7 linked regions of the Sus scrofa genome follow. The protein of the gene in region 2 binds, or shares a complex with, the protein of the main gene of each other region. Links are inferred from orthologs where the notes say so. Each region holds a gene or a part of one and is shown on either strand. Other genes may lie near its edges.

What was found.
Region 1: NUP107 (region 2) and NUP160 share a complex: the UniProt entries of both Homo sapiens proteins name them as parts of the nuclear pore complex. The link is inferred for Sus scrofa from reciprocal best matches to the Homo sapiens genes NUP107 and NUP160.
Region 3: NUP107 (region 2) and NUP153 share a complex: the UniProt entries of both Homo sapiens proteins name them as parts of the nuclear pore complex. The link is inferred for Sus scrofa from reciprocal best matches to the Homo sapiens genes NUP107 and NUP153.
Region 4: the proteins of NUP107 (region 2) and NUP205 are in contact, whole or in part, in a cryo-EM structure (PDB 7WB4), measured with the Xenopus laevis proteins. The link is inferred for Sus scrofa from reciprocal best matches to the Homo sapiens genes NUP107 and NUP205. Residues at the interface, in NP_001091312.1 of Xenopus laevis: Gln134, Glu136, Pro189, Tyr282, Tyr283, Gln770, Ser772, Phe773, Thr774; in XP_041443600.1 of Xenopus laevis: Gly1247, Gln1248, Arg1249, Pro1250, Ser1458, Arg1506, Gln1507, Leu1983, His1991, Gln1995.
Region 5: the proteins of NUP107 (region 2) and NUP133 are in contact, whole or in part, in a crystal structure (PDB 3CQG), measured with the Homo sapiens proteins. The link is inferred for Sus scrofa from reciprocal best matches to the Homo sapiens genes NUP107 and NUP133. Residues at the interface, in NP_065134.1 of Homo sapiens: Leu875, Gln876, Ala878, Asp879, Val881, Ser882, Ser883, Glu884, Tyr889, Lys894, Leu897, Arg898, Leu900, Leu901, Gln902, Arg905, Ser908, Leu909, Leu912, Asp917, Pro918, Leu919, Tyr921; in NP_060700.2 of Homo sapiens: Trp937, Leu938, Ile941, Asn942, Gln944, Leu946, Tyr963, Ala965, Lys966, Lys968, Thr969, Leu970, Gly972, Leu973, Lys975, Leu976, Ala977, Leu979, Ala980, Ser981, Asp982, Ile992, Glu999.
Region 6: NUP107 (region 2) and E3 SUMO-protein ligase RanBP2 share a complex: the UniProt entries of both Homo sapiens proteins name them as parts of the nuclear pore complex. The link is inferred for Sus scrofa from reciprocal best matches to the Homo sapiens genes NUP107 and RANBP2.
Region 7: NUP107 (region 2) and CETN2 share a complex: the UniProt entries of both Homo sapiens proteins name them as parts of the nuclear pore complex. The link is inferred for Sus scrofa from reciprocal best matches to the Homo sapiens genes NUP107 and CETN2.

What each region holds. Positions count from the first base shown.
Region 1 is NC_010444.4:14,888,556-14,892,055, reverse strand, and holds the end of NUP160 (nuclear pore complex protein Nup160), read right to left. Parts: intron 2,963-3,500; coding exon 2,858-2,962; intron 1,729-2,857; coding exon 1,639-1,728; 3' UTR 489-1,638; downstream 1-488. UniProt on the Homo sapiens protein: Functions as a component of the nuclear pore complex (NPC). Involved in poly(A)+ RNA transport.
Region 2 is NC_010447.5:33,024,161-33,027,660, reverse strand, and holds part of NUP107 (nuclear pore complex protein Nup107), read right to left. Parts: intron 2,894-3,500; coding exon 2,834-2,893; intron 2,077-2,833; coding exon 1,931-2,076; intron 1,813-1,930; coding exon 1,764-1,812; intron 1-1,763. UniProt on the Homo sapiens protein: Plays a role in the nuclear pore complex (NPC) assembly and/or maintenance. Required for the assembly of peripheral proteins into the NPC. May anchor NUP62 to the NPC. Involved in nephrogenesis.
Region 3 is NC_010449.5:13,414,578-13,418,077, reverse strand, and holds part of NUP153 (nuclear pore complex protein Nup153), read left to right. Parts: intron 1-1,602; coding exon 1,603-2,220; intron 2,221-3,500. UniProt on the Homo sapiens protein: Component of the nuclear pore complex (NPC), a complex required for the trafficking across the nuclear envelope. Functions as a scaffolding element in the nuclear phase of the NPC essential for normal nucleocytoplasmic transport of proteins and mRNAs.
Region 4 is NC_010460.4:13,774,974-13,779,111, reverse strand, and holds the start of NUP205 (nuclear pore complex protein Nup205), read left to right. Parts: upstream 1-1,338; 5' UTR 1,339-1,580; coding exon 1,581-1,608; intron 1,609-4,138. UniProt on the Homo sapiens protein: Plays a role in the nuclear pore complex (NPC) assembly and/or maintenance. May anchor NUP62 and other nucleoporins, but not NUP153 and TPR, to the NPC.
Region 5 is NC_010456.5:60,359,920-60,363,419, reverse strand, and holds part of NUP133 (nuclear pore complex protein Nup133), read right to left. Parts: intron 2,394-3,500; coding exon 2,286-2,393; intron 637-2,285; coding exon 502-636; intron 1-501. UniProt on the Homo sapiens protein: Involved in poly(A)+ RNA transport. Involved in nephrogenesis.
Region 6 is NC_010445.4:47,549,329-47,552,828, forward strand, and holds part of E3 SUMO-protein ligase RanBP2, read right to left. Parts: intron 808-3,500; coding exon 637-807; intron 49-636; coding exon 1-48. UniProt on the Homo sapiens protein: E3 SUMO-protein ligase which facilitates SUMO1 and SUMO2 conjugation by UBE2I. Involved in transport factor (Ran-GTP, karyopherin)-mediated protein import via the F-G repeat-containing domain which acts as a docking site for substrates.
Region 7 is NC_010461.5:123,903,247-123,907,246, forward strand, and holds the start of CETN2 (centrin-2), read right to left. Parts: upstream 2,801-4,000; 5' UTR 2,747-2,800; coding exon 2,648-2,746; intron 1,743-2,647; coding exon 1,584-1,742; intron 1,329-1,583; coding exon 1,200-1,328; intron 163-1,199; coding exon 25-162; intron 1-24. UniProt on the Homo sapiens protein: Plays a fundamental role in microtubule organizing center structure and function. Required for centriole duplication and correct spindle formation. Has a role in regulating cytokinesis and genome stability via cooperation with CALM1 and CCP110.

The sequences.
Region 1 (3,500 bases), on a different chromosome or scaffold from region 2:
AAAACCACTTCTTTGATCAACAATGCAAATGAATAGGTTTTTGGAACAGGGCCAGTTTTGAGCTATTTCTTGTCCTCCAGAAATAGCTGCAATAGGGTTTGACATTTTTCAGGTTATGATCCATTAGTCACTCATGAAAACACAGTAAGTGAGGATACACATTTTGTGAAAGCTTTCTCTTGGTTATACATGTGTATACAAGTCAAAGTCTATTTCTTGCTATATTGGAGGCCACAGGTTTCTGGAGCTGGGAGGGCAAGGGGTCTTGCAGTACTAATTGTACCAAACACTTCACAATAATCATGGCAGAGCTAAAATGAAAACAGAATCATATACCTTAATATCTATCTATAATAGTACCACAGGGAAACTCACATTGTTATTTAAAATATATAATGTAAATGTGGCATTGACAGTATAAAAATTAAATAATTATGAAAACCTCAAGACAGGTCAAAGGGCATACAAGCAAGTACTGTACAGATTGCTTCCTTAAAAGATAAGTTTTAATATACAGAATAAAATTAAAGAGTTTATTTTGTCACTTTCCCCCAAATTTGTGATCACGAATGCCTCTGAATCTGACCAGGAAAGTTAATATTTTGGTCCAATACATTATTAGATTACCTGTATGATCAAGTCCAGCTTGATAATTATAAATCATAGAAGTTAATGGAATTTACTTTGAAAATCTCTTACTTTTATAGATGATAAATTTTCAAGTTTTTCTTAGCTAAGAGTTTACTTCACTTTAGCCTCAGAACCAGATTCAAGTTATCTTTTTTTTTTTGGCTTCTTTAGGTCTGCACCCTTGGCATATGGAGGTTCCCAGGCAAGGGGCTGAATCAGAGTTGTAGCTGCTGGCCTACACCACAGCCACAGCAATGTCGGATCCAAGCCTTGTCTGCAACCTACACCAGAGCTCACGGCAATGCTGCATCCTTTAATGTACTGAGCAAGGCCAGGGATCAAACCCGTGTCCTCATGGATATACTAGTCGGGTTTGTTAACCACTGAGCTAGGATGGGACCTTCCAAGATAAAGATATCTTCCTTAACAGCTGGTCATCGTGTTAGGCTTAATCTAGGCAAATTATTTAATACTTTATTGAAGATCATAAAAAAATTCCACAATAAATAATGAAGAGTATGCAAAATCATTAGCCTCTGTTTGCAATACAGAAAATACATGTCAGTTCTGGACCAAAATAATTCCATTGAAATACAAAAAGTGATAGGAAGAATGAAAGGATTTGCAGTGACTGCTTTTGGTGGTCAGCTACAACAAACCAACAACCATCAGCTATTTTGGACAGTGAAAGTGGGTTTTAATTTGCAGATAAAGAATGTCTTCGGTAGTTTAAAAAAATATAAACTCTAAAAAAGCTTGTGAATCATATACAAAAGCAGCTGTTTGAGACCAAGTTTGAAAACCAGAAATTGTGTGTTAGCACCACCAGCAAGCACAGGTCCTGTGACTCATCTCCCCTTCTCTCTTGTGCAGAATGCAGACTTGACTGTCGCACACATCATTTACTGGTATAAAAATTGGCCTGGAGTACAGGTTTCCTGTAGGGTAAATAAAGTCTTAAGCCCTAAGAGGCACCAAGCGGTTACAAAGGCTGGGCAACCATCCAGATCACAAGAGCCGACGATGTAATAAATCCCTTGTTGCCTTATCAACTTTTTGCTGGTAGTCCTCCAATTTGTCAAGTATTTTCTGGGACAGCTATAGGAGAAAAGACGGGAATCATTAAAGAATAGGTCAAGGACTGAAAAAGACTAAAGTTATCAATCACTCTGACTTTGTCAACCAGATTTCCCTTGATGAAGTTGTTAGGCTGTGCTTCATTTAATCACCATTCAATTCAGTACAGAAGTCTGCTTTGTGACTCCACTGATAAAGCCAGACTTTTCTGTTATACGCAATACTCTGACACTGTTTTCCTAATGAATTTTCTAAATATGCAAAAGACACCAGTATTTGTAAATTAATTAATTAATTATGACTGAGCCTATAACATGCAGAGGTTCCAGGGCCAGGGATTGAACTGGACCCACAGCAGTGACAAAGCTGAATCTTTAACTGTTAGGCAATCAGGGAACTCTCACACCAGTACTTTTAATTATTTTTTTATTTCTAGGGCCACACCTTCAGCATATGGAAGTTCCTGGGCTAGGGGTTGAATCAGAGCAACAGCACCGGCCCACACCATAGCAATGCCAGATCCAAGTTGCTGCTGCAACCTATGGCACAGCTTGCGACAACACCGGATTCTTAACCCACTGAGCAAGGCCAGGGGTTGAACCCACATCCTCTTGGATACCAGCTGGATTCTTAACCTGCTGAGCCACAAGGGGAGGTACCCACACCAGTATTTTGTTTTTGTCTTTTGTCTTTTTAGGGCCGCATCCAAGGCATGTGGAGGTTCCTAGGCTAGGAGTCTAATTGGAGCTGTAGCTGCCAGCCTACGCCACAACCATAGCAAGACCAGATCTGAGCTGCATCTGTGACCTACACCACAGCTCATGGCAGTGCCGGATCCCTGACTGGCTAAGCGAGGCCAGGGATCAAACCCACAACCTCATGTTTCCTAGTCGAATCTGTTTCCACTGCGCCATGACGGGAACTCCCCACCCCAGTATTTTTAATAAAAACTTTATTAGCTACCTTCCCCAAATCAGAGCTGTTATATCTGATTTAATTAATCATTTCATAAAGAGATTGGGGCAGCATGTGAAGGGCAATAAATGGCTTCTGCCCTCCCCTTAATCCTTGAGAACCAGAAGAGCAAGCTTGAGGGTGTAATTGCTAGTGCAAGGGCTTGCGAAGATGGCTCAGGAAAGGATTTACTCACTGCAATGTTGTGACTGTTGGCGCTGTTCTCTCCCAGAGCCTGGAGAAGTTGATCAATAGAAGAATATGGGAGCCACACCATTGGAGCTGTTGCAGACAGTGGAAACTGAAAGCAAACATATCATTTGAAGGAAATCTGAAAAGTGCACCAATTCTTCTGGGTAGCTAGTTATCGTAGGACTCAATAACATGAAATGCCTTACCTTTTTTTCACAACCAGAAATTGTGTATGCATGCATACACACAGGTACACAAGCGGAAACACCTCTCCCCACCCCCCAGTCTTTTTTTACCAAGGAACTGGTCCTTTTCTTAGTTAAATCAAATGTATTTTTTTTAAGGCTGCACCCCATATGGAAGTTCCCAGGCCATGGACTGGATTTGAGCTGTAGCTGCGATTTCCTTTTACTCACTGCCCTGGAGCTGGGGATCAAACCTGGGCCTCTGCAGCAACTACAGTCAGAATCTTAACCCACTGTGCCACACTGGGAACTCCAAATCAAATGTATTTTAAAATACATTTTAAATTCATATCTTTTGTGTGTGTGTGTGTGTGTGTGTGTGTGTGTTTAGGGCCACTCCTTTGGCATATGGAGGTTCCCAGGCTAGGGGTGGAATCAGTTGTAGCTGCCAGCCTATGCCAC
Region 2 (3,500 bases):
TGCAAGGAGATGGCCACATTAATAAGTTACTTATGGGAATATGAATTAATTGCTACAACTAGGGAATTAACTTAATGACATATAACCTTTAACCCAGAAACCCTGCTTTCAGGAAACATATCCTAGAGAGATAGGACTGGTAGATAAGCATAAACCAGAGTAAATAAACAAGAATGTTCACTGTGGTGCTGGAAAAATCTAAATATCACCAAAAAGGGAATGGTTTTTAAAAAAGGATACATCATTCTACAGACCATTATATACCTACTTAAAAAAATAAGTTAGGGAGTTCCCGTCGTGGCGCAGTGGTTAACGAATCCGACTAGGAACCATGAGGTTGCGGGTTCGGTCCCTGCCCTTGCTCAGTGGGTTAAGGATCCGGCGTTGCCGTGAGCTGTGGTGTAGGTTGCAGATGCGGCTCGGATCCCGCGTTGCTGTGGCTCTGGTGTAGGCCGGTGGCTACAGCTCCGATTCAACCCCTAGCCTGGGAACCTCCATATGCCACAGGAGCGGCCCAAGAAATAGCAAAAAGACCAAAAATAAATAAATAAATAAATAAGTTAGGTTAAGTTAAAACTATATCCACTAACTTAGAGAGACAATCATTAAATGGGGAAAAAAACTGTAAAGGTAGTGTAGGTAGAAGGATGTAAAAAACAACAAAAACCAAAAATCCTATATGGACTATCTACATTATTTACATGTAGTGGTGAGAGTATGGAGAAGGACATGGAAGGCAATGTTTTATCATCTCAGTGAATGTGAATAATCACAGGCGGTTGGGAGGAACTTCTAAAGATCTTACTTATGTATCTTTAGATTATTTTTTTAATTTTTAATTTTGTATTAAAGTATAGTTGATTTTCAGCGTTGTGCCAATTTCTGCTATGCAGCAAAGTGACCCAGTCATACATACATATACATTCCCCTCCTCCCTTCCACGCTTCCTTCCTTCCTTTCTTGTGCTTTTTAGGGCCGAATATGAGGCATATGGAAGTTCCCGGACTAGGTGTCGAATTGGAGCTGCTGGCCTACACCACAGCCACAGCAATGCTGTACGCTTAACCCACTGAGTGAGGCCAAGGATCAAACCTGCATCCTCATGGATACTAGCAGGGTTCATTACTGCTAAGCCACAATAGGAACTCCTACATTCCTTTTCTTACATTATTTCCCATCATGGTCTAGCCCAAGTGACTGGATTACTCTGGTGATTTTTAAAGTCTAAATTTTGACATCTAGGAAAAGAAAGCCTTGTTAATTTTCCTTTATATATTTTTCAAAAGAAAAAGAATAGATTCTTTTGCCAAGACCTAGGGAGTTGGCTGGGGTGAGGAATACATGGCCGCCTGGCTCCATCAAGGCTCGAACACATATTGAGACATATATATGTCTATTTATTATTGAGTTGTTTTATATGTGTGTATGTATATGTATATCAGAGTAATACATATAAATTTGGACAAATGCATAATGTCATGTATTCACATAAACACATACACACACACACGAAAGGGATAAATTAGCTTATACCCACACCACATATTTAGATGAAACCAATCCTAAACCAAAGAAACAGAAATGATGTATCATTTAATATATTATTACGTTTCTTCCTTTTAAAGAATATACTCCATTTGGATAAAAGGTGAGGAAAAGAGAATATAACAAGATTTCACATACTTGTGCATCTTTCAGCCACAGTGCATGACAATGCAACACTTGGTTTCCTATTCCATTTATCATAAAATATTAATATTTACCTTTTTATCAGTAGCTTGAAGTTCTTCAAAAACCTTTTCTAAGGTCCAGCTTCGAAAGGAAGAACAAGGGAAGTGATCAATAACAATAATATGAACAAGGGCTACAAAATAAAACTTCACAGAGCATATTACAAATGATGATGATGAAAACAAACCAATAAACTCACTTTGTTTCCAAATATTCTCTAGGGAGTTCTTCAGTTTCATCCAGAGTCATTACTGATGTTCGGATCTCCTGTTCTACCAGACTGTCCACCATCACCCGAAAGTAGGCCCACACTGTATCCTCCCAGGTGTCACAGACAGGAAGCAGCTTTCCCCCAATTTCAAACAGAAACACACAGATACAGTCAACAGAAGAGACAGGAATAGCAGTTACACCCATTGCTCTGGACCATAAAGGCACCTAATGACCTAAAACATTAGGAATGTAAATTATCACAGCTCCCCCCACCACCACATCTTCTAAGATGTTTGAATTATTAAGATTTCTTCCATAATGAGTTCACAACAGCATTCATTTCCCATGCTGATATAAGATGGTATTTCAACTAATTTTGAAAATATCCCTCAAAATAGCTGCTGTAAAATGTAGCATAGTCACTGTGCTTTATGCAGTACACTTCTGGATAAAGCTATGGGTACCATAAGTCATCAAGAAATAAGTATTGTAATTAAATTTACAATGCTAGAAGAAACTGAAATCAGATTTCATGTATTAAAAACATCAAGTGGTACATGGAATACATCAATTTAAGCAGCTCAAGTCACTCTATTTGATGATTATCTCTATCATTGCTGTTCTTTTTTTTTTTTTTGGCCACACCCACAGCAAATGGTAGGTCCCAAGCCAGGGATCCCAAGCAGTGACCTGAGCTGCTGCAGTGACCTGAGCTGCTTCAGTGACAAGGCTGGATCCTTAACCTGCTGTGCAACAAGGGAACTCCTATCATTGCTATTCTTAGAAAGCAGCTTAACCTTACATGATTACAATATACTTTATTAGAGTATTTTGTGTATCTGATTTCATTCTATAGGGGAAAAAAGAATTATTAAAATAGACCACATACCTGCTTGAGATTCCCACTTAAAGCTGCATAAATTGCTCTCTCGTATCTATTAAAATGTTCCTGAAATACAATGAATATAAAAAAAGTTGAGCTTTGTTTTTCTTAGCATGTGAACTTTTTTCATAATGGAGAATTTTGCAGTGTCTTTTGAACTGAACTTATTTATGCACCTGACAGTTTTTAAACTTTTTAAAAGACCTAGTGGGGTAATAAAAAGGAAAGACCTCTTAGTTTGATATAGTTAACGTTGAATTCTAAATTTCAAATACAAGGTGAAAGCAGACCCAACTCTAACGGATGCTTTGATTATTTATTAGAGTCAAATTTTATTCCATATAGAACCTCTACAGATGTCTTCCCCTATTTAAGGTTCTAAATACCTAATACTACCTGATAATCTCCTAAGAATAACATCAAAACAAGGCACTTGGAGCTGCCATGCATCAGTTTGCATCAAATTCCTAAGGGGAACTAATTAAATTCATCAAAATTTTTCATTTTACTTCTGGATTCTATTAATGGCATTTCATTTTTTCATCGTCCAAACAAGAGACTTCAGAGACTCTCACTATATAACTGAGTGTTCCTTGGCTTTCTGTTTCCAATCTCTGGTCCTAACCATTTTTGTTCCTTTCTTTTCCACTCTCAGTACTAACCTGGGGCAGGC
Region 3 (3,500 bases), on a different chromosome or scaffold from region 2:
TGGGAACTCCTACCTTAACTCTTTAAATACACCTATGATGGCTAACAAAGTGGTAGGCTCTGGGTTTTTATTGGAAAGCTGTCGCAGTTTTGTTTGAATTAGTGTTTGGTAATTTTGTGTGGTCGTCTGTTTGAATTAGCCTGAGCTTGTGCTCCATTAGGAGATAGTGGACCCTAATTTTTATTTTTTCGTTTTTATTTTTATTCAGCTCCGTCATTATAATTATAATGGAGTTCTTTTTTTTATTAATACAGTGAATTTTATTATATTTATAGTTGCACAGCCATCGTCAAAACCTAATTTTAGAACATTTCCATCCCAAACCCCAAGTTCCCACCTCCCTCCTCCCCATCTGTCCCCTTTGGTAACCATAAGTTTTTCAAAGTCTGTGAGCTTGTTTCTCTTCTGCAAATAAGTTCATTTGTATCCTTTTTTTTGAGTCCACAGGTAAGTGATAGCATATGATGTTTGTCTCTTACTGTCTAACTTCACTTAGTATGATAATCTCTGGTCTACTATTCAGCCATAAAGAAGAATGAAATAATGGCATTAGCAGCAACATGAATGGACCTAGAAATTACTGTATTAAATGGACCCTAATTTTTGTATTTCTGGGTTTTACCAGGTTATTTTAGTACATCTCTGTTGGAATTTTTTTTTTTTTTTTTTTTTTTTTGGTCTTTTTGTCTTTTCTAGGGCCGCACCCGTGGCATATGGAGGTTTCCAGGCTAGGGGTCAAATTGGAGCTGTAGCCAGCCACTGGCCTGCTCCAGAGCCACAGCAATGCCGGATCCAAGCCACATGTGCAACCTACACTACAGCTCACGGCAACGCCAGATCCTTAACTCACTGAACAAGGCCAGGGAATGAACCCAAAACATCGTGTTTCCTAGTCGGATTCGTTAACCACTGAGCCACGACGGGAACTTCTGTTGGGATTTTTAATCGTATTTGTCATTGAACCATTACTCTTTTAAAGCTTTGTATGAATTTAATGTTACTAAAAATGATCCTTATTACTCTGTTGTTGGGAGGGACATCTTTCAAATAATCATACCTGCACAGTTGAGCTGGTTTTACTGAAACTGGATTATGACTGGAAAAAATTCAAAGATGCTCCATACCGGAGGTCATTTGGCATAGGCAGGGGGAGGACGGCAGTGACTGTGCTGCGGTTCAGTGCTGCAGGAAAGGCAAGGAGCAAAATGTGGATGGTGTGTATGTCAGTAAGGAGTACAAATTAAGTCTCAAATTAGTTATACTACAGTAAATAGATTGCTAGAGGAAGATGATCTACTATAAACAGAATGTCTTTTGTAGGTTTTTTAACTAGGCCTGTTGCTTACTGATTATTTGATTAGTACTAGAAATATAGTTCTAGGTGAAAAATACTTCTTAAGTAGTCCACCTTAGATTATGATAGCTCTACAGTAAGGTGTTTTGTGCCAAGAATAATATTTTTATTATGAATGGCTATTACTCTATAGTTATTTATATTATTAATATTTATTAACTATAATAAGTAATAGGCTTTCTGATCAAAACATTAACTAACTTTTCTTCTCCCACTCCACTCTCCCCAACCCCCCCACCCCATTGTAGGTTTCACATCACCGAAGGCAGATTCTCCTGCTGCTCAGCCTACCACCACAAGCCCAATAGTTTATACAAGACCAGCAATAAGTAGCTCTTCTTCCAGTGGAATCGGGTTTGGGGAAAGTTTAAAGGCTGGGCCATCATGGCAGTGTGATACTTGTCTACTCCAGAACAAAGTTGCAGACAACAAATGTGTAGCCTGTCAAGCAACAAAGTTGCCACCAAGAGATACTGCTAAACAGTTGGGAACTGGGACACCAAGTAAAAGTGGCAAACCAACTCTTTCTTCACCAGGGACAGGCTTCGGAGACAAATTTAAACCAGCAGTAGGAACTTGGGATTGTGATACTTGTTTAGTGCAAAATAAACCTGAAGCGATAAAATGTGTAGCTTGTGAAACACCGAAACCTGGAACTGGTGTTAAACGAGTCTTTACGTTGCCAGTGGCTTCAGAAAGTGCTGTAACCATGGCTGCTTCCTCCTCCAGCTGCACTGTAACCACTGGTGCCTTAGGATTTACAGATAAATTCAAAAGGCCCATGGGATCTTGGGAGTGTCCAGTGTGCTGTGTTTCTAATAATGCGGAAGACAATAAATGTGTGTCCTGTATGTCTGAGAAACCAGGTACGTTTATGGCTGTTTGGAATAATTTTGTTCATTACTTTAATAGAACATTTTAATTTATTCTCTGTAAAACAGCTAAGAATAACCTCAATGTTTTAGATGTTTCAGGATGCGCATTTCCTCGTACATTAATTTTTCTAAACTGTCTTGAGAGTAAAATGACTTGTTCGCAACTGAAACTGCATGTCCTATTAGGATAGGCTTTGTGTTAATCAGTCCAGCATTTGCTTTGACCTCTTCTTTGTATGCACTTTTATCAGGAACTTTGGGCTCTTCACCATCATTTCCAAAGTTGGCTAATATGGATGCAAAGGCCTTAGAATGGGAACCATCATTTCCAAAGTTGGCTAATATAGATGCAAAGGCCTTAGAACGGGACAGTCTCTCTCAAACCTTTATGCAGAATGAAATATTACTTTGTCTCTTTTCCTTGAAGTAGAAGTGAGGATGGCTGGTGGTCATTTCCGGGACAGTTTCATTAAAGGGTAGATGGTATTGCTTTATGAGAAGGCTGTGGCTGAATATTCACCCATGTGCCAGACATATTGCAATGATCTTAAAATAGGCAGCCAGAAAAATGGAATTAGGTTTGAGTTCTGTTTCTCTGTTCAATTTTGAAAGAGTTACTGAAGATTTAAATTGATCTTTAATTCATTTGGAAATGACTTTTTGATGTTTTTGTAATGCTTTTATATAATTATTTGGTATAGATATGTAGTAACATGGATACTAAATAAAACATGTTATGAGTATCCTGGGAATTATACTTCCTATTTTTATTGCCTCATTCATGGATGCGTGGTTTTGTGTCTGCAACGGAAAACTCTTGGGTTAATAGCCCAGACCCCTGTCTTAATACAAGGGGTGAGCCTTATTCATAATTCCTCCTAGACCTCTCCACAAGAATGATTTCAGAATCTCTATTCTAAAATAGGTTTCTCTTCCCATCTGGTATTCCTCCTCCTCCCCTTAAAAAGAAAGAAAGAAAGCCCTGATGCATGCAAGAAACCAAAATTAATTGAGTTGATGGGAGAATAAAACTGAGTCAGGAAATTGTTATACAGAAACAAAGGAAGCTCATATATATATGAAAAAACTTCCACTTCATCCTTTAGCTGAACCACCATTATAAGCAGAAAATGATCTGGTCAAACTTGTAATTTTGGTAAATCACTCGGTGGCTTTTTGGAGGATAGATTTGAAGGCAACAAAATTTGGAGACCAGAGGACAGATTAGGAAGTTATATCAGTTATATAGGTCAAGATCCTAGTGATGTGTA
Region 4 (4,138 bases), on a different chromosome or scaffold from region 2:
TCTAACAGTGAAATGGGAACATAAACTATTTTCTCCCAATCTCAGTGGAATATCGGAAGAGTTGATAAAATGAGGTTGTAAGGTACATGGAACATCTCTGATAGGATTGTAGGATTGTTTCAGGGATTGAATGAGATAATATAATAACAACATCAACATTATAAGATAATGTAAAATTCTTAATAAATATCTGGCATATGGTAGCACATAGTAATGACTATATTTTAGTTTAAAAATAGCGAACGAGGAGATCCCATTGCTCTACAGTGGAAATGAATCCGACTAGTATCCATGAAGATGTGGGTTCTAGCCCTGGCCTTGATAAGTGGGTGGGGGATCCAGTGTTGTGGTGAGCTGTGGTATAGGTTGCAGACACGACTGCGTTGCTGTGGCTGTGGTGTAGGCCGGCAGTGGTAGCCCAAATTTGACCCCTAGCCTGGGAACTTCCATATGCCATTGGTGTGGCCCTAAAAAGAAAAGAAAAGAAAAGAAATTAGCAAACTAAAATTTAGCAAGTAAAAAAAAGAGGGCCAATTATTTAGGGGTGCTCAGGTGAACAAATATTTGGTGTTTATGAAATGATTTGTCTGGAAATTGCTTCCAAGTAATTTCTCATGTTGGAGGTGGGATAGAGGAATTGACCAGCTAGTGAAGCTGGACATTCATTATCCTTTTTTTTTTTCCCTGGACATTCATTATTCTAACTTTGCATACATTTGAAAATTTTTTTCTTTTTTCTTTTTTTGTCTTTTCTAGGGCCACAGGTGTGGCATATAGAGCTTCCCAGTCTAGAGGTCAAATAGGAGCTACAGCTGCCTGCCACAGCCACACCACAGCAGTGTGGGATCCAAGCCTCATCTGCGACCTACCACAGCTCACGGGCAACAGCGGATCCTTAACCTGCTGAACGAGGCCAGGGATTGAACCTGCAACCTCATGGTTCCTAGTCAGATTCATTAACCGCTGAGCCATGACCGGAACTCCCTACACTTGAAATTTTAATAATAAAAGGTTATGATTGTTTCACTGTATGTAACTATGTTGATGCAAATCACTTGGTATATACATATACACGAAATGCAATGAAAATCTAGTTTGTAACAAATTAAATGGCTTTTTGAAGTTTATCTATCTTTCACCCCACTCCACTCTCCAAAGTAAAGGAGTAATGCAACGATTTAATTTGACATATAGACAATGATTGGAATTTATGGCTTTCATAATATCATAAGTGGGCATCATTTCAGAAACTAATCTTTTTCTGTACCACCTAACCAACTTTAGTCCTTATAAGAAAAAAAAAACTACACTCCCCAGCATGCATTGCACGACATCGTCAACACGAGGACCTCGCGTCGCCGAACTGGTTGCCCTCGCCTTATTTGAATGGGAATAATCCTGGCGAAAATTGACGTCTGTGGCTCAGAGTAGATTTTCGAGTATTTGTAAGACAAGCTCGGTAGAGCGTGCGGTAGGAAGGAGACAGCGTGGTACCTTTATGTTCAGGCATCGCCCCAGGCAGCCTCGCCCTTTTCTGGGGCTTCCGTGCGGCAGGAGGGCTCCGTTAGTGCGCTTCCAACATGGCGACGCTGTTGGCGGTAAATTCAGGTAGGTGCGGCCGGGGCAGAAGGCAAATTGTGGGGCAAGGTGCTGATCGGTTCTTAAGGGAGAGACCCGGGCTGTGGGGTTCCTCGGAGTCCAGTCCCCCATTTGTGCACAGTGCCCGCTTCTCTCCAGCCGGGAGCCTAGATTCCCGCTCCTCCCCAGTTTGAATGGCGCGCGTCGGCTCTGCGGGTGTTAAGAATTGGGCTTTGAGGGTCGAGGCGAGGAAGCTCGGTCCACCGGAACCCGGCGTGGAATTCTCGCAGTTCAAGGCCAAGCCTGTTCTCTTCCATTACTCACCCCATTATGTGTCCGTGATCCAGGTTTCATATGTAGTTTTCCAGCAATGAGGTCAGGGGACCTGAGATATTTTTTTCAGCCCATGCCGAAACTCGTACTTTGTATTAGGCACCTGGATCGCTCATGGAGGTTGGGGGGTTATGCAGGAAGCGAGGTTCCTTGGTTATGAAGCCTGAAATTTTGAAGGTGGCCGAGGACTACCATGACTCCCAGCTCTGCAGTTGTGGCCTGTCCCTGGATGCTTCTGTACCTTTGGAACAGTAGATCCTCGGGACAGGGCAGAATCTAGAAGGTTGTAAAGAAACTCTGGAAGATTTGGATTGGGCAGTTCTCAATCTGGGGCGGAACTCCCCCTCCCTGCGGGGGGGCATTTAAAAGAGTGGGTGCATTTTGATTGTCCCGGTTCCTGGGGTGCTCTGCTGGCGCCTAGTGGGCGGGTCTAGGTTGCCAGACATGCTGCAGCGGCGGGAGCGTTCCTGAAAATCAATTTCCTGCTCTGAATGTCACTGTCTTGTTTGAGCCATGCTAAGCTTTATGGGCAGTTAAGAGCACATCGGTGAGGTAAATCCTTGTAAAGAATCTCACTCAAAGAGAGCTCTTTCTTAGGGCGCCTTTTCTTTCTGTCTCTACGCAGTTGGTTTTTTTGTTTTTTGGTTTTTTTTTGTTGTTGTTTTTTGTTTTTGTTTTTGTCTTTTTAGGGCCGCACCTGTGGCTTAGGGACGTTTCTAGGCTATGGGTCGAATAGGGTCTAAGGCTGCCGGCCAGTGCCGCAGCCACAGCGACCCTGCGTGATTGGAGCTTTGTCTGAGACCTACACCGCAGTTCAAGGAACACTGGATCCTTTAACTCACTGACAGGCCAGGGATGGAACCCACGTCCTCATGAATGCTAGTCGGATTGGTTACCAGCTGAGCCGGGATGGGAACTCCCTATGCTGTTGTTTTGTGTGTGTGTGTGTGCTGGTTTGTTTTCACACGACTGATACTCTTGAAAACGTGTCTAAATCTGACTTTTGCAAATCAAACCATTTCAGAAACACTATGATAAATTATTTTGTAATAATGAAGGATTATGTTTATTGAGCACCTCCTTTTCCCCAGGCACCATGCTAGGAGCTATCTTTTATCTCATTTAATCCCCTTTATCCACCTATGGAGTAGCTACTATTAAATACTCCATTTTACAGATTTGGAAATAGAGTGGTTAAGTAACTTCTTCAGGGTTATACAGTTAATGATTCAAAGTCAGTCTTTGATGATACTTAAACGTGTTCCTACTGAAGCACAAGCTAATTCATTTCATTACATAAAATTTCCATATACCTGAATTTAGTAATGAAGTTACTTCCTTAATCTTGCTGTCTTGCCCTCCTAACCCAGATGTAAACTTAAAACAAAGTTTTCATGTTATACGTGTGGTTATATACTTTTCTTTAGTACATGCTCATCCTAAATTAGTATCATTAAACATAAATCATTGAAGGAAAAGGAGTTGCCAGCAATTTCAAAGCATATATACATTGTATAGTGAGGCCTCCTGGCAGTGGTATTTAATTGGTCACATAGAAAGGAAACTTTTTGAGGGATTGAACTCTGGCCACAGTAGCCAGCTGAGCTGCTGAGGTGACAGCACTGGATCCTTAACCTCCTGAGCCACAAAGGAGCTCCCAGGAAGCATTTTTAAAAGCCCAGGCAGGAGTTTTTTTTTTTTTTTTTTTTAGGGCAGCATCTGCACCATATGGAGGTTCCCAGGCTAGGGGTTGAATCAGAGCTACAGCTGCCACTCTACACCACAGCCACAGCAATGTGGGATACAAGCTGGTCTGTCTGTTCCCAGGCTAGGGGTCTAATCGGAGCTGCAGCTGCTGGCCTACACCACAGCCACAACAATGCCAGATCAGAGCCTCGTCTGCGACTTACACCACGGCTCACGGCAATGCTGGATCGTTAACCCACTGAGCAAGGCCAGGGATTGAACCCGCAACCTCATGGTTCCTAGTTGGATTTGTTAACCACTGAGCCACGACGGGAACTCCCAGGACGATATTTTTAAAAAATTAAATGTCCAGGCAAGGAACCCAAATGCCGGTTGACAAATGAATGGATAGACAATGTGGTCTGTAGATACAATGGAGTGTTATTCAGCCTTAAAAAGGAAACCCTGTCCTATGCTGCAGCATGAATGAATCTTGAAGACATTCTGCTAAGTGAAATAAACCAGTAGCAAAAAGACAAAT
Region 5 (3,500 bases), on a different chromosome or scaffold from region 2:
TAGGAAAATCATCTGTACGTTAAGTCCAAAAGAACACTGTTGTTTTATTAAAATAACTTACTTATGAATCCATTCACTTACTATTATTAATTCTACACAGAAAAACTTTGTTGAAGTTTTTTTGATTACAAGTTTCTTAAATTCTGACTTTTAAGCTATAAGTTCACCATAAGGTAGGTTCAACGAATCAAGCATCAGATTCTATTTCTTTAGTAAACCTGCAGAGTATGTATTAACAAACCACTCCTCATGTCAAAATTTCTAAGTCACTCCCATAAGGTGTTTCTGAAAGAAATGAAAACCACCGGCTACTATGCACTACTGATATTTCAGAGACCCATGAGCATGGCTTCCCCTTGTCTAAGCATTCAAATCCTAGATCCTTACCTTTCTTGCTTTTTTACTCCCACCAGCCCCACAGGCCTGTGTGATCTGTTCAAATCCCCCTTAGAGGCCTCATCATGGCTTTCCAGTAAATGTAAAAGAATGCCCATCATATACCTGCACGGCTGTTAGGAAGCTGTAAGTCTTATCCCCTCCTGAGTCCACGGTCGTCTCTGTGTAGGTGTCCTCACTAGCAAGGCTTGGCCAGTAGCGGATGGATCCTTCTCTGGTGGCCACCATGACAGCAACAGCCTCAAAACAAGATCTCGAACTCAACAATCACAAGAAAAGAAGGACCCCAAATTGGAAGTCTGACAACACCAATGTAAAGAAAACAGGATGACGTACTACTAATTACCAGAAATCAGAAATAAAAACTCCTTTTCTTTGTTAATTATCATACAGTAAAATCGATGTTTCTGCCCTTTAGTTTCACGATTCTGCAAATTTTTCTTTTTTGGCCACACCAAGGCATATGGAAATTCCCAGGCCAGGGACTGAATCTGAGCCGCAGCTGTGATCTACACCACAGCTGAGGCAACACCAGATCCTTAACCCACTGCATGGGGCCAAGGATAGTATCTGCACCTCCAGAGCAACCTGAGCCACCACATTCGGATCCCTAACCCACTGGGCCACAGGGGGAACTCCTCACAGATCTATGGATTTTACAACACAGATAGACCCATAACTACCACTATGGTGAGGATACAGAGCAGTTCCACCAGCACCCAGAACTCCTTGATGCTTTCCCTATAGTCACACCTTCCCATCCTAACCCCTGGCCATCACTACTTCCATCATCCTTGTCCTATCTTTCTGAGGATGCCAAACCAACCCATACAGAATATAACCTTCTGACACTGGCTTATCTCACTGAGCATGATGTCGCTGAGATTTATCCAGGCTGTAGATAATCAACAGCTCATACCTCTTCAGTGTCATCCACACTACAGACAAATCAGTTCATCCATCCATTCACTTGCTAAAGGATGTCTGGATTGCTTCCACCTTTGCCCATCACAAGTAAAGCTGCTATGACATGAGTGTACTATTTCTGCATGAACATAAGCTTTAATGTCCCTAGAATAAATGGCCAGGAATGGAATTGCTGGGTCATATGGCAAGGCAAGCATATTTTAACTGTGTAAGAAAGAGAAAATCAAGTGGTTGCACCATTCTGCATTTCCGACAGCAACAACATGAAGTTCCAGTTGCTCCTTGTCAGCACTTGGAAGTGTCAGTACTTATTTTAGCCACTGCACTAGATGTGCAGTGATGTCTCACTTGTTCAATTTTCATTTCACTGATGGCCAGTGATGTGAACATCTTTTCATCTGCTTATTTGGCATCCTTATATCCTCTTTGGCAACGTGTCAGTTCAAGTCTTGTGCCCTGTTTTTTTTTTTTTTTTTTTTTTTTTCCTTTATATGGCCACGTGCACAGCATATGGAAGTTCCCAGGCTAGGGGTTGAATCTGAGCTACAGCTGCCGGCCCATACCACAGCCACAGCAACACCAGATCTGAGCCGCATCTGCAACATACACACACAGCTCACAGCAATGCCAGATCCTTAATCCACTTAGAGAGGCCAGGGATCACACCCACATCCTCATGGATACTAGTCAGGTTCATTTCTGCTGAGCCACAATGGGAACTCCCACTCTGTCTTGATTCCTGTGGCTTTATGTTTCAGAGTCTGGCTGGATGATTCCTCCAACTTTAGAATTCCCTTACTTTAAAAACATGTACTTTGGAGTTCTCCAGTGACCAAGAAGCCAAGGATCCGGCATTGTCACTGCTGTGGCTTGGGTTTGATCCCTGGTTGGGGAACTTCTGCATGCCACAGGCACACCCCACCCTGCAAAAAAGTACTTCAATAAGCATGTAAGTCACCTACCTGAGTAGAATGTGATTCACCTGAGGCAGCAGAATACGAGAGAGCCACCAAGTCAGCACTCCAGTGGAAATCACTTGGTGGCAGCTGAAGTTCTTTGCAAACAGACAGCTATGGGACAAAATCTTTCATGTCAAATCCAACTTTTTGAATATCCACCTGACGTCACTATTTCCTCTGTTTGCATATTTTAGAGTTTAATTCATTGCTGGAAATACCATTCTACAAATATTCTTCTTCTCAAATCTTTTTGATCAGGCTTTTATCATCAATTTCAGTAATTTAAAAATATATATATTAAGTGATACAAAATCAGGAACACTTAACAGCTAGACCAGACCCTTAATAACAACCAGTTCAATCTCTCCCCAAACCAAAAAGTCTATTTGTTGAAAGAAATGATTCTATAGGCTTCCCACAGAATTTTCCCAGTCTAATCTTGATTTGTTTACTTGACATTTAAAATGAGCATGACTAGAGTAAGTACACCAAGCCATCCAGAAAATATTCCTAGACTCAGCAAAATATTGGGCTTCCTCTGCTAATTCAGGATGCCCCCCAACAGGACCTCTCTCTCACCCAGGCTCCTAACTGCAAATATGGTATTCTAAGCAGCAGCAGGAGAGGGGCCAGTGGACAGAATAGTTGAGGTGAGCAGGAGACTGAGTCCCAGTGGAACAAGGGCACAGTGAGCACAAGAGGGCAGAGAGTATGCCTGATCCAGAGCAGACAAAACAAGAGGTTGCTGAGAATAAAGGCGTGGACATACCAATGACCACCCACCGTGTGAGAAGTTGACAACTGAAAGGTAAACTAGTGTAAAAACTGGTATCATTTTCCTATTTTACTAAGCATTATTCAGTAGATGCAGTGAAACATATTCCTATCTTCATAGAAATCAACTCAGTTCATTAACTTGCGTGGATGTGGATGACATTTAGTCTGAGACTTCATCAGACAGACTGCTTAGCACGACACTCATTAAAGATTTCAAGGTCTCGGAGTTCCCGTTGTGGCTCAGCAGAAATGAACCTGACTAGCATCATGAGGACGCAAGTTCAATCCCTGGCCTCGCTCAGTGGGTTAAGGATCTGGTGTTGCCATGAGCTGCGGTATAGGTCGCAGACATGGCTTGGATCTAGCGTTGCTGTGGTGTAAGCCACTGGCTACAACTCTGATTTGACCCCGAGCCTGGGAACCTCCATATGCCCCGGAGGC
Region 6 (3,500 bases), on a different chromosome or scaffold from region 2:
GATATAGTTTTCCGTTAAGTTTCTTGACAGCTGTGTCGAAATCTTCATCTTAAAGTATAATATATTTTATTAAATAAATGAATTTCTAGTGTATTTCAGGAGATTTTCTAGCCAGGAATCAAGGGTTCCTCTCCAACTTCCCACTTTCCCTTGCTCCTACATCCAAATAGCAACCAATTTTGCCAATTCTATACAAACGCCTCTCTGCTCTTGTCTGAGCTGCTCCACTACTTTAGCTCCTCTTCCTTCTCCACTTTCCACAACCCAGTCCTCTACCCCATGGCCCAACTGTCCTACTCAAATTACTCCGAGCACAAGATTCCTCTGCTTGAAAACTCTGACACAGCCCACAAAGCAAGCCCCAGTCAGAGGCTATCTCTGCCTCACCACCATCCCACTCCTCTCATTCCCCAGGGAAATTAGGGTTGTCTTCAGTTCCCTCAGAACGCCTGCCCTGTTCAGAGCAGCACTCCAGGAAAACCTCTTTCAATCACTACATGCGCTGATTATTCACACATGCATTCACCTGCAAGTAGAGCAGGGGTGGGCTCTCGGAAGCAGGCTTGAAAGGATTTCATCACCCTGTCCACTAAGATGGAGCATGAACAGAATGCTTTAAAGCAAGAAAAAGCTTACCATCCTCTTCCTCTTCGCTGACGTATCCTGGCCGGTTCTTATAGCAGAAGAAAGTGGGAGGAAGCTGAAGTCTGATTGCAAGAGCTTTTTGCTCAGGAGTTGGGGTCAACTCATATACAATGAGAACATCATCATCCGAGGGAAGGTCTTCAGGCTTTTTCTTCTCTTCCGCTGTAAGGTAAATCCAAAAAAAAGTTGTCAAAGATATTAAGTATTAGTTAGCATCAACACTCTAAAAATAAGTATCATAGAACATAATATTCAGGTTAAAAGAGCATGCTGACAAGAGTTCCTTGGTGGCGTAGCAGTTTAGGGTTCTGAGTTTCCAGTGCTGTGGCATGGGTTCCATCCCTGGCCTTGGAACTTCCACATAATTCAGTGTGGACACTGCTCATGATAAAATGTGAATTAGAATTAGAAGCCTGATTTAATGCTCTATTAAAAATGCTTAGTACACATAGAATCTACTTAAAAAACAAGCAAAAAGTCCTGCTTTTACTTACTGATCATTGAAAAAAATTAACAGCTATAAATTCAAAACATAGATAAAAAGTGCTGCCATAACCAGATGTGGCATACTAAGCGGTTTAGCCAAATATCCATGCATTTGCGACAACTGAAAAAAAAAATTCAATCATAAGAAAAGATTAGTATAAATATAAAACTAACACAAAGCCAACCTTGATGAGAGCCTTAACAACTGCCACGGAAGGCAAGTGATTAGAGTTAACATCCCATTTTTCATATTTCCAAGCCGGGTAATAGATTAAATTAAATTAAAATGGGTGTCTTCTAGGTAAGAACCTAAGACAATTTGTATTAGCTGAAACACCAACAAAAAGACAAAAGATAGAGAGAAAAGTAACTCTTCATAGAATATGCTCTGGCCTACAAAGGGCGTCTGGCTAAAGGAATGAGAAAGTATGCAAGCCATGAAGTTTGCATCACCTTGGCACTGTCCAATCTGGCAGGCCGGCCACCCCTGACAGGGAAGCACTTACGCTGTGGCCAGTTCAAACTGACATGTGCTACAAGTGTAAAAATACACACTGGGTTTTGAAGACTCAGTTTAAAGAAAAAAAAAAAAGGAAAATATCTCATTTTAAATTTTTTATACTGATTAGAAGTTGAAATGATATTCTGGACATAATGGGTTAAGCTTTATTAAAATTAATTTCATCTCTTTTTTCACCTGTTTTCTTTCATTTTTTAGTGTGACTACTAGAAATTTTTTAATTACTACAAGCAATTTGTACCTTATTTCTACTGGATGACCTGATCCAGAAAATAGCTTTCTTGCAATTTTTAACTTGCCTTTTTTCACCTTTTTTTCTTTTTTTTTTTAGGGCTGCACTGGCAGCACATGGAATTTTCTAAAGCTAGGGGTTGAATTGGAGCTGCAGCTGCTGGCCTACGCCATAGCCACAGCAACACCAGATCTGTGCTCCATCTGTAACCTATGTCACAGTTTGAGGCAATGCCAGATCCTTAACCACTGAGCAAGGCCAGGGATCAAACCCGCATCTTCATGGATTCTTTTTTTTTTTTTTTTTGTCTTTTTGTCTTTTTGTCTTGTTGTTGTTGTTGTTGTTGCTATTTCTTGGGCCGCTTCCGCGGCATATGGAGGTTCCCAGGCTAGGGGTTGAATCGGAGCTGTAGCCACCGGCCTACGCCAGAGCCACAGCAACGCGGGATCCGAGCCGCGTCTGCAACCTACACCACAGCTCACGGCAACGCCGGATCGTTAACCCACTGAGCAAGGGCAGGGACCGAACCCGCAACCTCATGGTTCCTAGTCGGATTCGTTAACCACTGCGCCACGACGGGAACTCCATCTTCATGGATTCTAGTCTGGTTCTTAACCTGCTGAGCCACAACAGGAACTCCTTACTTTTCTTTTTACGCCACACCTCCAGTTCATGGAAGTTTCTGGGCTAGAGGTCGAAATCAGAGCTGCAGCTGAGGCCTATGCCACAGTCACAGCAACACTGGATCCAAGTCAAATCTGCAACCTATGCCAAAGCTTGTGACGCCAGATCCTTAACCCACTGAGCAAGGTCAGGGGTCAAACCCACATCCCTCAGGGACACTATGTCGGGTTCTCAACTCACTGAGCCACAACGGGAACTCCAAATAACTTTTTTTTTCTTTTTTTTTTTTTTTTTTAATGGCTATGCCTGTGGCATATGGAAGTTCCCGGGCCAGGGACTGAATCTGACCCACAGCTGCAACCTACACCACAGATGGGGCAACGCCAGTTCCTCAACCCAAAGTGCCAGGCCAGGGATCAAACCCCATGCCTCTGCAGCAAACCAAGCTGCTGAGCTGCTGCAAGCTGGATTCTTGACCCACTGTGCCACAGCAGGAACTCCTCACTCTTCTTCCTCACAAAATCTTAGCATCAATTCCTAGCGGGAGATCAAAAGAACACTCTAAGACAAAGATTCTTGTTTATCAGATAGCATCACTGGGCCTCAGTTTCCTCATGCCTCAGGTCTTCATTTCTAAGGTCTCTGAAACTGTGACATTCTCAGTCTTCAAACAGAATAGGGCTCTCTGTCCTGCAGCAGTAAGTTGTAAATTTGCTTTCAGACCAGGCACTCTTCACCTTGGGCCCATGAAGTTTGTGCAGAAGTGTGTAACCTTTACAGAAAAAAATTCACACTTTTTACATAATTTTTCAATGACTGCATCCCAAAGAATAAAGGCTGATAGCTGCTGTGGCTAGGAGTACTTGGTGTACTTTAAGACTGAGGGTCCTAGGAGTTCCCATTGTGGCTCAGTTGGTTAAGAACCTGCCTAATATCCATGAGGATGCAGGTTCGATCCCTGGCCTCACTCAGTGGGTTAAGGATCTGGCATTG
Region 7 (4,000 bases), on a different chromosome or scaffold from region 2:
GCTCCAGGCTGACACATCACACACCTGCAGCTCCTCGTCAGTGAGGTTCTCGCCCAACTCCTTGGCCACGCGTTTTAGATTCTTGAACGATATCTTCCCAGTTTCATCGTCATCGAAGAGCTTGAAAGCTTTCAGGATTTCTTCTTTGGTATCCTTCTCAGACTTAACAAGTAGAACATAAAAAACACATGAGTAAAGAGACTCATAATTACCTGTGTCCCACAACCCTAGCACCATCCCCTCTGCCCTGCCACAACAGCACCACATGGCCTCATGACATTGGTGCTAGGTCACAGAAGATCAAAAATCAACCAGCGTAGAGAGAGGGGACAAACATGAAATTGGTACAATCCCAGAGGCTAAGAAGGAAATATAAAGGCTTGCACTTAAAACATTTTCTATACAAATGGAAGAGAAAAGTAGACTGCTTTTTAAAATACAGCAGCAGGAGTTCCCGTCGTGGCGCAGTGGTTAACGAATCCGACTAGGAACCATGAGGTTGCGGGTTCGGTCCCTGCCCTTGCTCAGTGGGTTAACGATCCGGCGTTGCCGTGAGCTGTGGTGTAGGTTGCAGACGCGGCTCGGATGCCACGTTGCTGTGGCTCTGGTGTAGGCCGGTGGCTACAGCTCCGATTCAACCCCTAGCCTGGGAACCTCCATATGCCGCGGGAGCGGCCCAAGAAATAGCAACAACAACAACAACAACAACAAAAGACAAAAAAATAAATAAATAAATAAAATACAGCAGCAGATGATGGGATTAAGTTTAGAGGAAATTCCACTGCTTAAGCTGGGATCCTCTTGGGGGCAGAGGGGAGCAGGGAGGAAAGAGAAGGCGATTTCACTTATGAGAGCACCAAGAGTTACTAGAATCCCAGGTACTCTGACAGAGGAAAAGAGGAAAAGCTTCCTGAACTCTTAACTTAGTCCCTGAAGAAAAATATGGGTGTGATTAGATGATTTCAAAGCAACAGGATTATTAGAGTGGGAAGAGACCTGTGCCTTGGGAAGCACAGCTGAAGCACTGATGGAGCTACTTTTCCACGGGCCAGTAGAATGTACATGAGCCACACTGAGGAGGAGCCAGGAGGCCAATGAAAGAGAAAGGGACCAATGGGTGAAAAGACACTTTCATATCTAGACTCAAATCTGTCCACCATTATTGGTGGAAAATACACCCATCATCTTAGCTAACCTACCATTTTCTGAGTCATCACAGTTAAAAAGTCACTGAAGTTCATTTTTCCTGTCCCTTCCTTATCGATTTCACTTATCATTTTCTTGATCTCTTCTTTCTTGGGTTCAAAGCCCAGTGCCCTCATTGCCACCTGCAATGAAAACAGGATCATCTCAATATGTACATCTAAACCCAGGGGCAAAAAATGACAGCATTGAGAGCATTAAGCCAGTATCTGACACAATCATGTTAAAATAATTAGGAAACACTATAACATTAAGCAAATTGATATTTGCACTCAATTTTGTTTAATAATACTTGAGGTAAATAAAGACAGAAAAACAGCACAGAAGAGAAAGAGGCAGAGAAAAGTCAAGGCAGCAGAGCAGGAATGTACAGGGCTTGCCTTAAGTTCTTTAACATCTATTGTCCCAGTTCCATCAGCATCAAAGAGATCAAAAGCTTCTCGGATTTCCTGTTTCTGCTCTTCAGTAAGCTCTGGTTTAGGGCTCATCCTTTTTCGCTGGGCAGCAGATGCCACGTTTGTCTTCTTAAAGTTAGAGGCCTTTATATGTTTCACAAACAGAGAAGCACGGTATTATGTAATAGGGTACATATTTTACATAAATATGTTACAATCCTATCTACTTTTAAAATAGTTTATACCAACGAATTCCAAAACTAACAGGAGAAATAACAGCGTTTAGTGAAAAGAGCAAATACTCTTTCTCTGCACCTCTATCCCTCCCTCTTCTTTACTACTGTTTCTAGAAGGAGATCCTTTGTTCTTTTGGATATCTCTTATTTGAAATCATCTAAAAAGAGAGCTGGCCAAGGAGCTGACTCTGGATAAATGTACAGATAATCAGCTCTCTCTGAATTTGGGACCCTAAATCTAAAAATGTCCTTAGAACGCTATTCTGCTTCGCTCTAAGTTATAAGATTTTCTGATTACTTCTAATTTGGCCAAATACTAAGTTAAGATGTATATTCTGTCAATATCGAATAATAAAACTCAATCCCCTCGGCACATCTGAGCCTTCCCCAAGAAGGTCAAAGCGTTTCCGAAGTCCCAATATTTAACATTTTAAATGCACATTAACAATCAAACACAATAAACTTCCCCTAGGCTCTGGGTAGAAACTTTGGTAGAGGCGGCCAGGAGGCCAGAGTCTGGAAGTGGTCGGGGTGTGCGAAGAGCCCGAGTCTGTTTTGACCAGAGGTGGTCACCGAAGGAGCCAGGGGAGCCCGAAGGACGGATAGGGGCCAGCTGTGGCTTGAATGGGACGCAGCGGCTAATCGCAGGCCCAGCAGGGCGGCCAGGATCTCTACCCTACCCTTCCGGGAAGCGCTCAGAGGAAAGAGTGCGCCAAAGCCGAGAACCGCGCAGGAGAGACGGCGGGGCCAGGCCAAGGCCTGTGAAGGGCTCAGCTTCTGGACACAGGGTTCGAAAGGGTAACAAGCACTCACCATCGCCGATGGACTCCGCTTCCCGTTGTTACGGCAACGGACGTACACACCGACTCGGCGCCCTTCCCACCGCCCCCTGCGCGCGGCCTTGCACCCCATTGGAGGACAGATGACTGCAGCTCCCCATTGGCACAGTGCTGGAGTGGGTGGGACTAACCCGACGGAGGCCTGACGCAGGGCGCAGGGCATTGTGGCGCGGCCTGGCCTTATTGGGCAGGATTACACCGCGAGCGCTGATTGGCCGAGCCAGCACCAATCCCTTTGGTGGAGGCGCCTCGGCTGATAGTAGCCTCATAAGGGTGGGGAGAAACAGGTGGTTGCTGGCGCCTGGAGCTCTGAGGCTGTAGGCTACCGATGCGCTGAGGCCGGCCAGGGAGGCACCTACCAACAGGTAAGGGTTGCGACCTCGCTCTTGGGTTGGCGATAGGACTGGAAAGGCAAGGAATTGGGTGGGGCCTTTCGCGGGGCTCGAAAAGGTAACAAGCCCTCACCCGGTCGGGGACTTTCTGGTCTGGACTAAGACTGAGTTAGGGTCAGAGGGGCCAGAGAAGACCGTGACCTTGCGTGTTGGAGCAGAGGATGTATTTACGGGGCAACTGAGACGGAGAAGGAAAGGCAGAGGCCGGGCGTTATCACAGAAATTCGGACGTCTGGGACTTAGAAGCTGAATTCATCCACCTGAGGCTCTTTCTTTGGGCGTGTCCGTCCCACCCCAAATAGATAACAAGATAGGATCACTTTAGTTCTCACCTGGCTAAAAGCAGCTCGGGAAGATGAGCTGGGGGCCTAGGAACGGCCTTTGAAGGGAGTGAAGGAGATTTGAGTGAGCATAAAGGGGACAGATCATCAAAATATACTCATTTTGACAACCAAACACTCAAGGCGGATAGTGAGGAGTATTCCAGGTGGGGACACTTCATGAGCAAAGTCACAGAGCCGTTTTGGAAAGGTGAGGCTTGCTCAGAGAATTACAAGGGGGCGTGTGCCACGGTAACAGATGAAAGGGAGCTGGAACAGTGGCCCTGGAAGTCCAAGGTCTGCCTTCCTTAGCCAGCCCAGTGTAAGGGCACTTCTTGCCTCTCAGCCCTTACCTGCTTCACCTCTGGGCATTGGCACAGCATTTTGGGAAGCAGGGGACAGAGCATAAGTTTCTCAGGCTGAAGAAAGCCTGAGATTTATTGACATTCATTAAGCGAAAATGTTTGCCGAACTTCTGCCCTTTACCCTCTTCCTCTTTGAGCACAAGCCGAGTCCAAAACCTTTTGGTCCTATTTGACTCTTCCTGCCCTGGCCCCACTAACTAGCCTCCACTTTCTGTCAGCTTCCTCCTTAAAGGGTGTTTCTTTTCTCTTT